2 linked regions of the Rattus norvegicus genome follow. The protein of the gene in region 2 binds, or shares a complex with, the protein of the main gene of each other region. Links are inferred from orthologs where the notes say so. Each region holds a gene or a part of one and is shown on either strand. Other genes may lie near its edges.

What was found. The genes of interacting proteins can lie anywhere in the genome.
Region 1: the proteins of Stap1 (region 2) and Lat2 are in contact, whole or in part, in a crystal structure (PDB 3MAZ), measured with the Homo sapiens proteins. The link is inferred for Rattus norvegicus from reciprocal best matches to the Homo sapiens genes STAP1 and LAT2. Residues at the interface, in NP_001304698.1 of Homo sapiens: Arg184, Arg203, Pro204, Gly205, Ser206, Ser212, Ile215, Gln217, Ile219, Lys225, His226, Tyr227, Lys228, Glu239, Leu240, Glu241, Tyr255, Phe256, Glu259, Thr260, Arg261, Asn263, Leu264; in NP_054865.2 of Homo sapiens: Asn134, Ser135, Tyr136, Glu137, Asn138, Val139, Leu140, Ile141, Lys143.

Annotation. Positions count from the first base shown.
Region 1 is NC_086030.1:27,739,362-27,743,535, forward strand, and holds the start of Lat2 (linker for activation of T-cells family member 2 precursor), read left to right. Parts: upstream 1-1,353; 5' UTR 1,354-1,408; coding exon of another isoform or gene 1,409-1,432; intron 1,433-4,174. UniProt on the Homo sapiens protein: Involved in FCER1 (high affinity immunoglobulin epsilon receptor)-mediated signaling in mast cells.
Region 2 is NC_086032.1:22,322,530-22,326,089, forward strand, and holds part of Stap1 (signal-transducing adaptor protein 1), read right to left. Parts: intron 1,962-3,560; coding exon 1,905-1,961; intron 72-1,904; coding exon 1-71. UniProt on the Homo sapiens protein: In BCR signaling, appears to function as a docking protein acting downstream of TEC and participates in a positive feedback loop by increasing the activity of TEC.

The DNA.
Region 1 (4,174 bases), on a different chromosome or scaffold from region 2:
CAAGATGGCTCAGTGAATAGAGGCATTTTCTGTCAACACAGTCTGAGCTCAATCCCTGAGACCCACGTGGTGGAATAAGAACCAACTTCAGGAGCTGGAGAGATGGCTCAGCGGTTAAGAGCACCTGACTGCTCTTCCAGAGGTCCTGAGTTCAAATCCCAGCAACCACATGATGGCTCACAACCATCTGTAATGGGATCTGAATCTGTTCTTAAAAAAGAGAGAGAGAGAGAGAGAGAGAGAGAGAACAAAGTGGAAGACACCAAGACTGACTTCTCGACTTCCACCACCACCCACAGACATGCACACAGAGGCAGCTTGTCTGTCTATCCAACTGTCTCTGAAACAATGGTCCTTTGTCCCGTCTGCCATCTTTGTGCCTGTCTTCCTGTCTCCCATGTGCCTCATCTTTTTATCTGCCCTAAAGTAATAGTTCTATGGGATTCACTCTAGTCTCCGTCTCTCCAATGCCTGTGGAAGGACTCTTGTTTCCTCTTCCCCGTGGTTGTCTGTCTACATCTGGCTCTCCCTCTTCATGATCCTCTCCTGACCTGCATCTCCCCATCTGTGGTGTCTGACTGGTGTGTGTGTGTGTGTGTGTGTGTGTGTGTGTGTGTGTGTGTCCCTCCAAACTTTCCATCTGTCCTGTCCACTTCTGTGTGTCCATGTGAACTCTTCGAGTTGAGTCTCCCTTGTCCCTCACTGTGCACCTCCCTTCCCCATGTTCCGTGTAACCCGGTTCTGTACCGGGGCATGTGCTGTGCGTGCTGGGCTTTTCAGTCCTTCCGTGCCCTTCTCTCACTTCCCATTTCTCCTGTCTGTTTCTGTTTTCTTTTCTGCCCCTCCACCCCCATGGGTGTGTGTGTGTGTGTGTGTGTGTGTGTGCGCGCATATATGTCTGTGCGTGCTTGCCCACATGCACGCTGCACATATGCCTGTCTGTGCATACATGTCCACGTGCATCCAGAGACCTAGCCGGTATCAATTTTCTCTCACTACATGGTTTCAGGTGATAGAACTCAAGTTGTCCAGCTTGGTGGAAAGTGCCATTATCCAGTGAGGTTTTTTTCTTTTTTTGAGACAGGGACTCACTGTGCAGTTGTCCTGGCTGGAACTAACTATATAGACCATGCTGGCCTCAAACTCGGAGACCGACCTGCCTGCTTCTGTTTCCCAAGTGCAGGCATTTAACGACATGCACCACCATGCCCTGCTCTTCTCTCTCTATCTTTTTCTGTCTTTGCCCCACCCCCTTTGTCATTAACCACCCTAGTAGTCTGGCCGAGGCGGATGTAGAGGGATGATTCAGTAGTGACAGGAAGCCAACTGCCTTGCCCGCTGCTCGCCAGAGTCAGTGGTGCTGTTGGCATCAGCCTGGGCAGGTGTGCGGGCACAGGATGAAGTGGCCATGGTGAGGAGCCCTCATTCTCAGGTATGTCTTCTCCAGGGGTACTCTGCTGAGCAGGTGTCCCTTGCACTGCAGCCCCCAAGACCCTTAGCAATAGACTGAAGAGAAGCCAAGACATCTGGTACCTTCCGCCCCGGCCTTGCCCTGTGGCCCTCTCGGAAAGTCTGTCTCGGGAGCTCCAGGCGCCTACTTATCTATCATTGTCTTTCCAAACCCCTAGCCTCTGAGACTCCCAAGAAGCCCCCTAGGGTGGTTCTGTCACTAACAATGGGAAGGGCCAGCCAAAAGCCAGAGATGTGAGGCTCTCCCATCCATGGAGGATTGGCTAATGCCACAGGCCTGGGATGCTTTGGGGAACTGTGCCCAGTCCCTGTCCCACCCAGGGGGGAGTTGCTATCCCCAGAAGTCCATCCAGGCCTGAGCTGGCTTCTACCTTCTGACGGATAATCCTTGTAGCACTGTTGGGCTCCTTGGTTCTGGTTCTGAACGGGTGGCTCAGGTTGGCCAGGGTCTGCCAGACCTCGGCCCGCGGGCATACTCACATAGACGCGAACAATCTTCCTGGCCCCTGGCTCCAATAGGTTTGTTCAGTCTTCTCTCCACCTCACTCAAAGCCCCAGATTATTTGGTCAGCCTGGGTTTTATAGGCTCCTGTAATTACGGCATTAGGAATCCTGCAGTAGAAGGGCGGTGAGTTCAAGGCCAGGCTGTGCTGCATTGTGAGGCCCTGCCTCAAAGGAAACAAACACTACAGAAATGTTATCCAGCTGAGACCACGGGCCTCAGAGTAGCACCCCATGAATAAAGCCATCCCAGGAGTGAGGTGCGTCCTGTGCCTCGTCCAAGCGGACCCTCGTGGCCTCTGCTCCCCGAAGGATGAGCCTTTTGACTGCAGTGATCACTAAGGGCCATTGAGGTTAGAAGCTCTGATGCAGCCCTCAGAGGCAAGCTTTGTTCATATGAAAACTGCCCACTTCCCTTTGAGCTATTTTGGCCCACGGAGCCACAGAGCTGTGGCGGTCCCCCCCCCCACACCCACAGCTAGCCCTGCCTGGCCCCTTGGGGCTCTTCGAGACTGCTGGGCTGCCCCTCCTGCAACCCCAGCCTCTGTCCCCCACACCCTCAGCCTGCCTGCTGTCCTTCAGGGTAAAGAGCATCCGATGGGATGAAGGGAATTCACCGCGCCTGCGCTGGGTTTCTGTCTTTTCCGGTGTTTCTTTGGGACACAGTATGCGCCTCTTTGAACCTCCATTTGCTCCCTGGGAAGAAAACAGGCTTGGAGTGGTCCCCAAGTGCGAAGCAAGCCCCAGACCCTGTCCAAGAAGCACCCCATGCACTCACACCTGCTCTTTTTTTTTTCTCAATATTTTAATACATTTTAAATTACTGTATGCATGGATGGGCGCCTGTGTGGCACAGCGTAGGCCAGAGAATAACTTGCAAGAGTTACTTCTTACCAACCACCATGTGGGTCCTGGGGATCGAACTCAGATCATCAGACTTGGAGGCAAGCGCCTTTTACCTGCAAGCTATCTCACCAGCCCCCATTCAGAACCTTTTTTTATTCGTCTGCATTAATTATGCAGACTAATAGGCTTATGACCTTTCCATATGGCACGTGCCTTGATCATGTTCACCCCAAAATCACCTCTCTTGTGATTCCCACTGGTCCCTTCTCTCCCAACTAATCCCCTTCTGATTTTATGTTCTTTTCTTGGGGGTTGGGGATGGGGGTAGTGGCCCAATGAGTTTCATTAGCTTCATGTAGTTTCATTACAAGATGTGAGTGAGGGGTTACCCACAGGAGCACGGGCATCTTACCATTGAGGAAGCGTGCTTCCTCTCTCTCTCTCTCTCTCTCTCTCTCTCTCTCTCTCTCTCTCTCCCCCCCCCTCCAGCAACCTTTCTTTTTTAATTATTTAAAATATTTAAGTAAGTTGGAATATGACGATGCAGCCTGGGAGGCAGGCGCAAGCCAGATTCTGTGAATTCCGGGCCAGCCTGGTCTATGCAGTGAGGTGTTAGACCCATCAGGGCTACGCAGTGACCCCCGGTCTCCAAACCACAATGTATGTGTGTGAGCACTTTGCTTGCACGTACACGTGTGTACCCCATTCATGCCCGGTGCACACAAAGACTGGGACAGGGTTGGGTCCCCTGGAGCTGGAGTTATAGATGGTCGTGAGCTGCCATGTGGGCGTTGAGAGTCAAACCTAAGTCCTCTGGGAGAGCGTCGCGCTCTTGATCTCTGAGCCATCTCTCCTGCTCACCCTCCCCCAACTTGCCCCCTCCCCCCCATGCTGGGAATGGAGCCCAGTGCCTTGCCCTTGGCTCTGTAAGTGTCTATCTTCTTTACTGGGTGATTCTAGCAGACAGGTACTCCTAGTCGTGTCCGCAGCCTCATGCTGCTAGATTCTAGGCAGTTGCTCTCACTAAGCCACACCCCCTGGGGGCATTCTAAGCAAACGTCCTAGAATGCCCCCCCCCAGGCCTCTTTAAATGTTTTGTGGCAGAGTCTCATTGGATTTGAACTTGCAAAATAGCCCAAATAGACCTTGGAATTCCCAATATCCCTGCTTCAGCCTCTTGTGCTGCTGGCCTGCTCCACTAGATCAGGCGTATCTACTTCAGTAACCCCTCAGACCCCACTGGGGTCAGTAGAGGGAATCCACATGTCCCTCTAGCTGTCACCAGGCGGATAATATAATCCCTCAGTCTTTGCTGCAGGCCAAGTCCCTTCCCATGTCACATGGCTAAGAACTGTGA
Region 2 (3,560 bases):
TCTCTCTCTAAGACTTCGTGCAGTCTAATCACTTGTCCAGGTAGAAGTGACACGTGTTGAGGAACTGACAACTGAAATCAGTTAAAACAGTAGGCAAACTAAAACTGCAGCTGAATAGCAATACTGTCTTTAATAGAGAGGAGCCTATGTGTAGTGACTGACTATCTAGCCACTGCCAGAGACAAACGGACAGGACAGTAAATAGAAGATTCCAGTCTAACATGGGCATTACAGTACTGCCCCTATACCAACTAGAACCTGCACAGAGTATTTACTTGCTTGCTTGCTTGGTTTAGTTAGGTTATATGTTTTGTTTTGTAACAAACTGTCTCTCTATGTGGTCCTGGCTGTCCTAGAACTCACTCTGAACACCAAATTGATACCAAATGCACAGAGATCTACCAGGTGCTGGGAATAAAGGTGTGTTAACACCATGCCTGGTCGAGATCATATTTGATCTGGTCTCAGGGCAAAGTGCATACACTTTTTACTATGAGCTAAGTAGCAACTAATCTCTCAATCTTCCTTTTCTTTTTGGGGGGGGGGCGGGCGAGTATTTTTTTGTTTTTTTGTTTGTTTTTTTTTTGTGGGGGGGGATTTTAAGATAGGGTCTCTCTGTATGGCCCTGGCTCTTCTGGAACTTGCTCCGTAGACCAGGTATTTGCCACCAACACTCAGCTAATCTCTCATTTCTCATCCTGAACTCAGATACCTCTGCAATGCCTAGGAAGTTTAGGATCTCCAGGAGATTCCTTATTCTCACACTAGTTAACTTGGAAAAGCTCCACACTATTGTGACAACATGGATTTGGTGGGCATAGGATCAACAGGTTTACACTGTGCTCTGTGTCTAGCCACCCACTCACATTTGATTCTTCTCTGCATATTAGTTTTGTTGTTCTCTAGAAATGTGTTTTGAGTTCCATTATCCATGTAAAGTCTGGTTAATTGTATCCACATCTCAAAATTTAGTTGGGAACAACCTATGCTTTCTGGGGAAGTATGGTACAACATTTTTCTAACTGTCATGTTAGCTAGCCATGGGGGCAGCCATGTCTTATAATTGGCCACCAGAACAAGAGTACTCATCAGGTGATATATGTGCGTGCATGCGTGTGTGCATGCGTCCAGTCCCATGCTTAGTTACTATTTCATTAATTCCTATTGTTGTGTATTCATTGTTAAGACTCAGAATGAGGCTCTTGGGACTCAGGAATGAGGATTGTAGTCTGTCAAATAAAGCAACAAGGGCAGCCCATGATCCCTGGGCTCCTCTGCTAAAGGCCTAAGAACATTATGGTAGTTGGTTCTCTTGTTACTACTACCTTTTCTAGCAGTGTGGTTTTGATTGAATCACCCAACTATGTCCTAGTAAATTGTTCTCATATCCAAGTCTAGTTCCTCATTATGCCGTTTTGGAGCAGTATCAGAACAGTGGAACATTTTAACAAATCATTTACAGACTGTGAGTTCATGCCATGCCCTAAACATTTACAGAGCAGAAAATCATAGATGAAGGTGATCTCTCTCATCCCTTGCCCACCAGTACTAATTACTTCAGAGTAGTTATCATAAGGTGAAATAGGCTGTGCTTAGTAACAGCACTCATAACCCACCAGATAAAATGAGATAAAAAATATGACTTTTAGAAACAAAAGCATGGATTTCTATCTGCCTTTTCTAGTTTCTACATCCCAGCCACTTTAATGTACATGGTTGCAGCAGGTGTTAACAACTAGTTTACAACCAGGTGGAGCAGCAGACTTTAATGAGCTTCTGTGGGCATGGTGACTCACAGCGCTAATCTTATCACCTGGGAGGTGGAGACAGGAGAATCATAAGTTTGCAACCACCATGGGCTATTGACACCTTGTCTCAGCAAAAGAAGCAGATGGCCCCCTTACCTCTGTTACTGTAAGAATGAAGCCCCTCCATTCTTCCCCACTTTCTGTGTTTTCTGTCTGGAGATAAAGCAGAAAGCACGAAATTAATGAATGATCTGTATTAACTTTAAATAACAAGAATTTCACTGGATTAATTTCTGACAATGTAGGTTTGCCATCAAAGGCTAGCAAGATCTCGGGTCAGAGTGGTGGCTCTTTGGCTAAAGCATTTGCCAAGTGAGCATGAAGGCCAGAATTTGGACCTCTAGAACCAAGAAAAATGCCAGATGCACGTGGCAGCTTAACTGTCATCCCTGTGCCTAGAAGGAGCAGATGGAGGATCTCTAGAGCAAGCTGGCTAGCTACATTCGTAAAATTGGGAAGCCGTGGGGTCCTTGTGAAAGGTGTTGTCTCTATGTATAGGATGGAGAGTGAGTGAGAAAAATGTCTGCTGTCAATTTCTGGCCCCCTCATACATGAAGAGAGAGAGAGAGAGAGAGAGAGAGAGAGAGAGAGAGAGAGAGAGAGAGAGAAGCAAGATTTTCTTCTGTTCAGGAACTTTGTTAAATAGGATCATTTGAAAAATTTAAACTGCATAAAATCAGCTTCATGGAGAAATACTTCAATTTTTTTACTTAGAATTAACATATTTATCATGAAATATTTCAGTCCCGTTTTCTTTTATTGGCAAGCAAAAATATAGGTGACTGGAAGCGGGATTGCTCGGTGAATGAAGCATTTGTCACACAAGTGTCAAGACCTGAATTCAAGCCTCGAGAAGTCGCAGAAAGTTGGGCACACTGAGACATATAATCCTAGTGTGCCTCTGGCAAAATAGGAGGTAGAGAGAGGAGAATCTCTAGAAGCTATTCCCAGCTACCTAGCATTCTCAGAGTCAAACAACAACGTGACCGTAACCCAGAGTGCATCTATCTATGCACTCCACAGGTATTACCTCCTTAATCATATTGAAGAAAGGTTATGTGTGGCCATTGCTTGCTAGGTTTCTTCACTGAGGTCCCAAATGATCCTCACTAGAAATAAAAATGGAACCGTCTTTGCTGATGTTCCACATCACTAAACCAAAGCTAAATGTTATCTTGCCTTCTTAAGAGATCAGTTAAAAAAAATAACAACCACATTTCCCATACAGATCAACTTCAATTTGTTTCCTCTGTGTCCGAAAAAAAGTAGCCCGAAGTAACCTGATCGCAATCATTTTTCTATCATTTGTCTTTCTGTTTTTACCTACAATGGAAGCTTTTGAAATGAGCAATTAACCTTACTACTGGTTTTAAATTTGTTTTAGTTTCCCTTGTCTGTAAAATTAATTTCTTCTTTTCAGCTAATTGAAATATTTTATTGTGTGGAATAAAACACATCTGGTTCTTTAGTAGGCTATAAAACGAATTAAGATCTTTCTATGTTATGGTGTTGTAAGTTTATCCTTTGAAAATCTTCAAGGAGACTTAGCAAGAGATGGCGTTTTTATTATGCTTTTTTTGTATCCGTTCAATTAAAAGATACATATCTTTAAGTGTAGATATTGGAAACAAAATAAAAATTCTCATTCTCGTGGAGTTTGAAATATAGCAAGGAAAAATAAATGGCTGGTGTGACAGTACATTTGATTTTGTTGGAAAGAAACAACTAGGAACAGTAAAATGTAGAACAGAG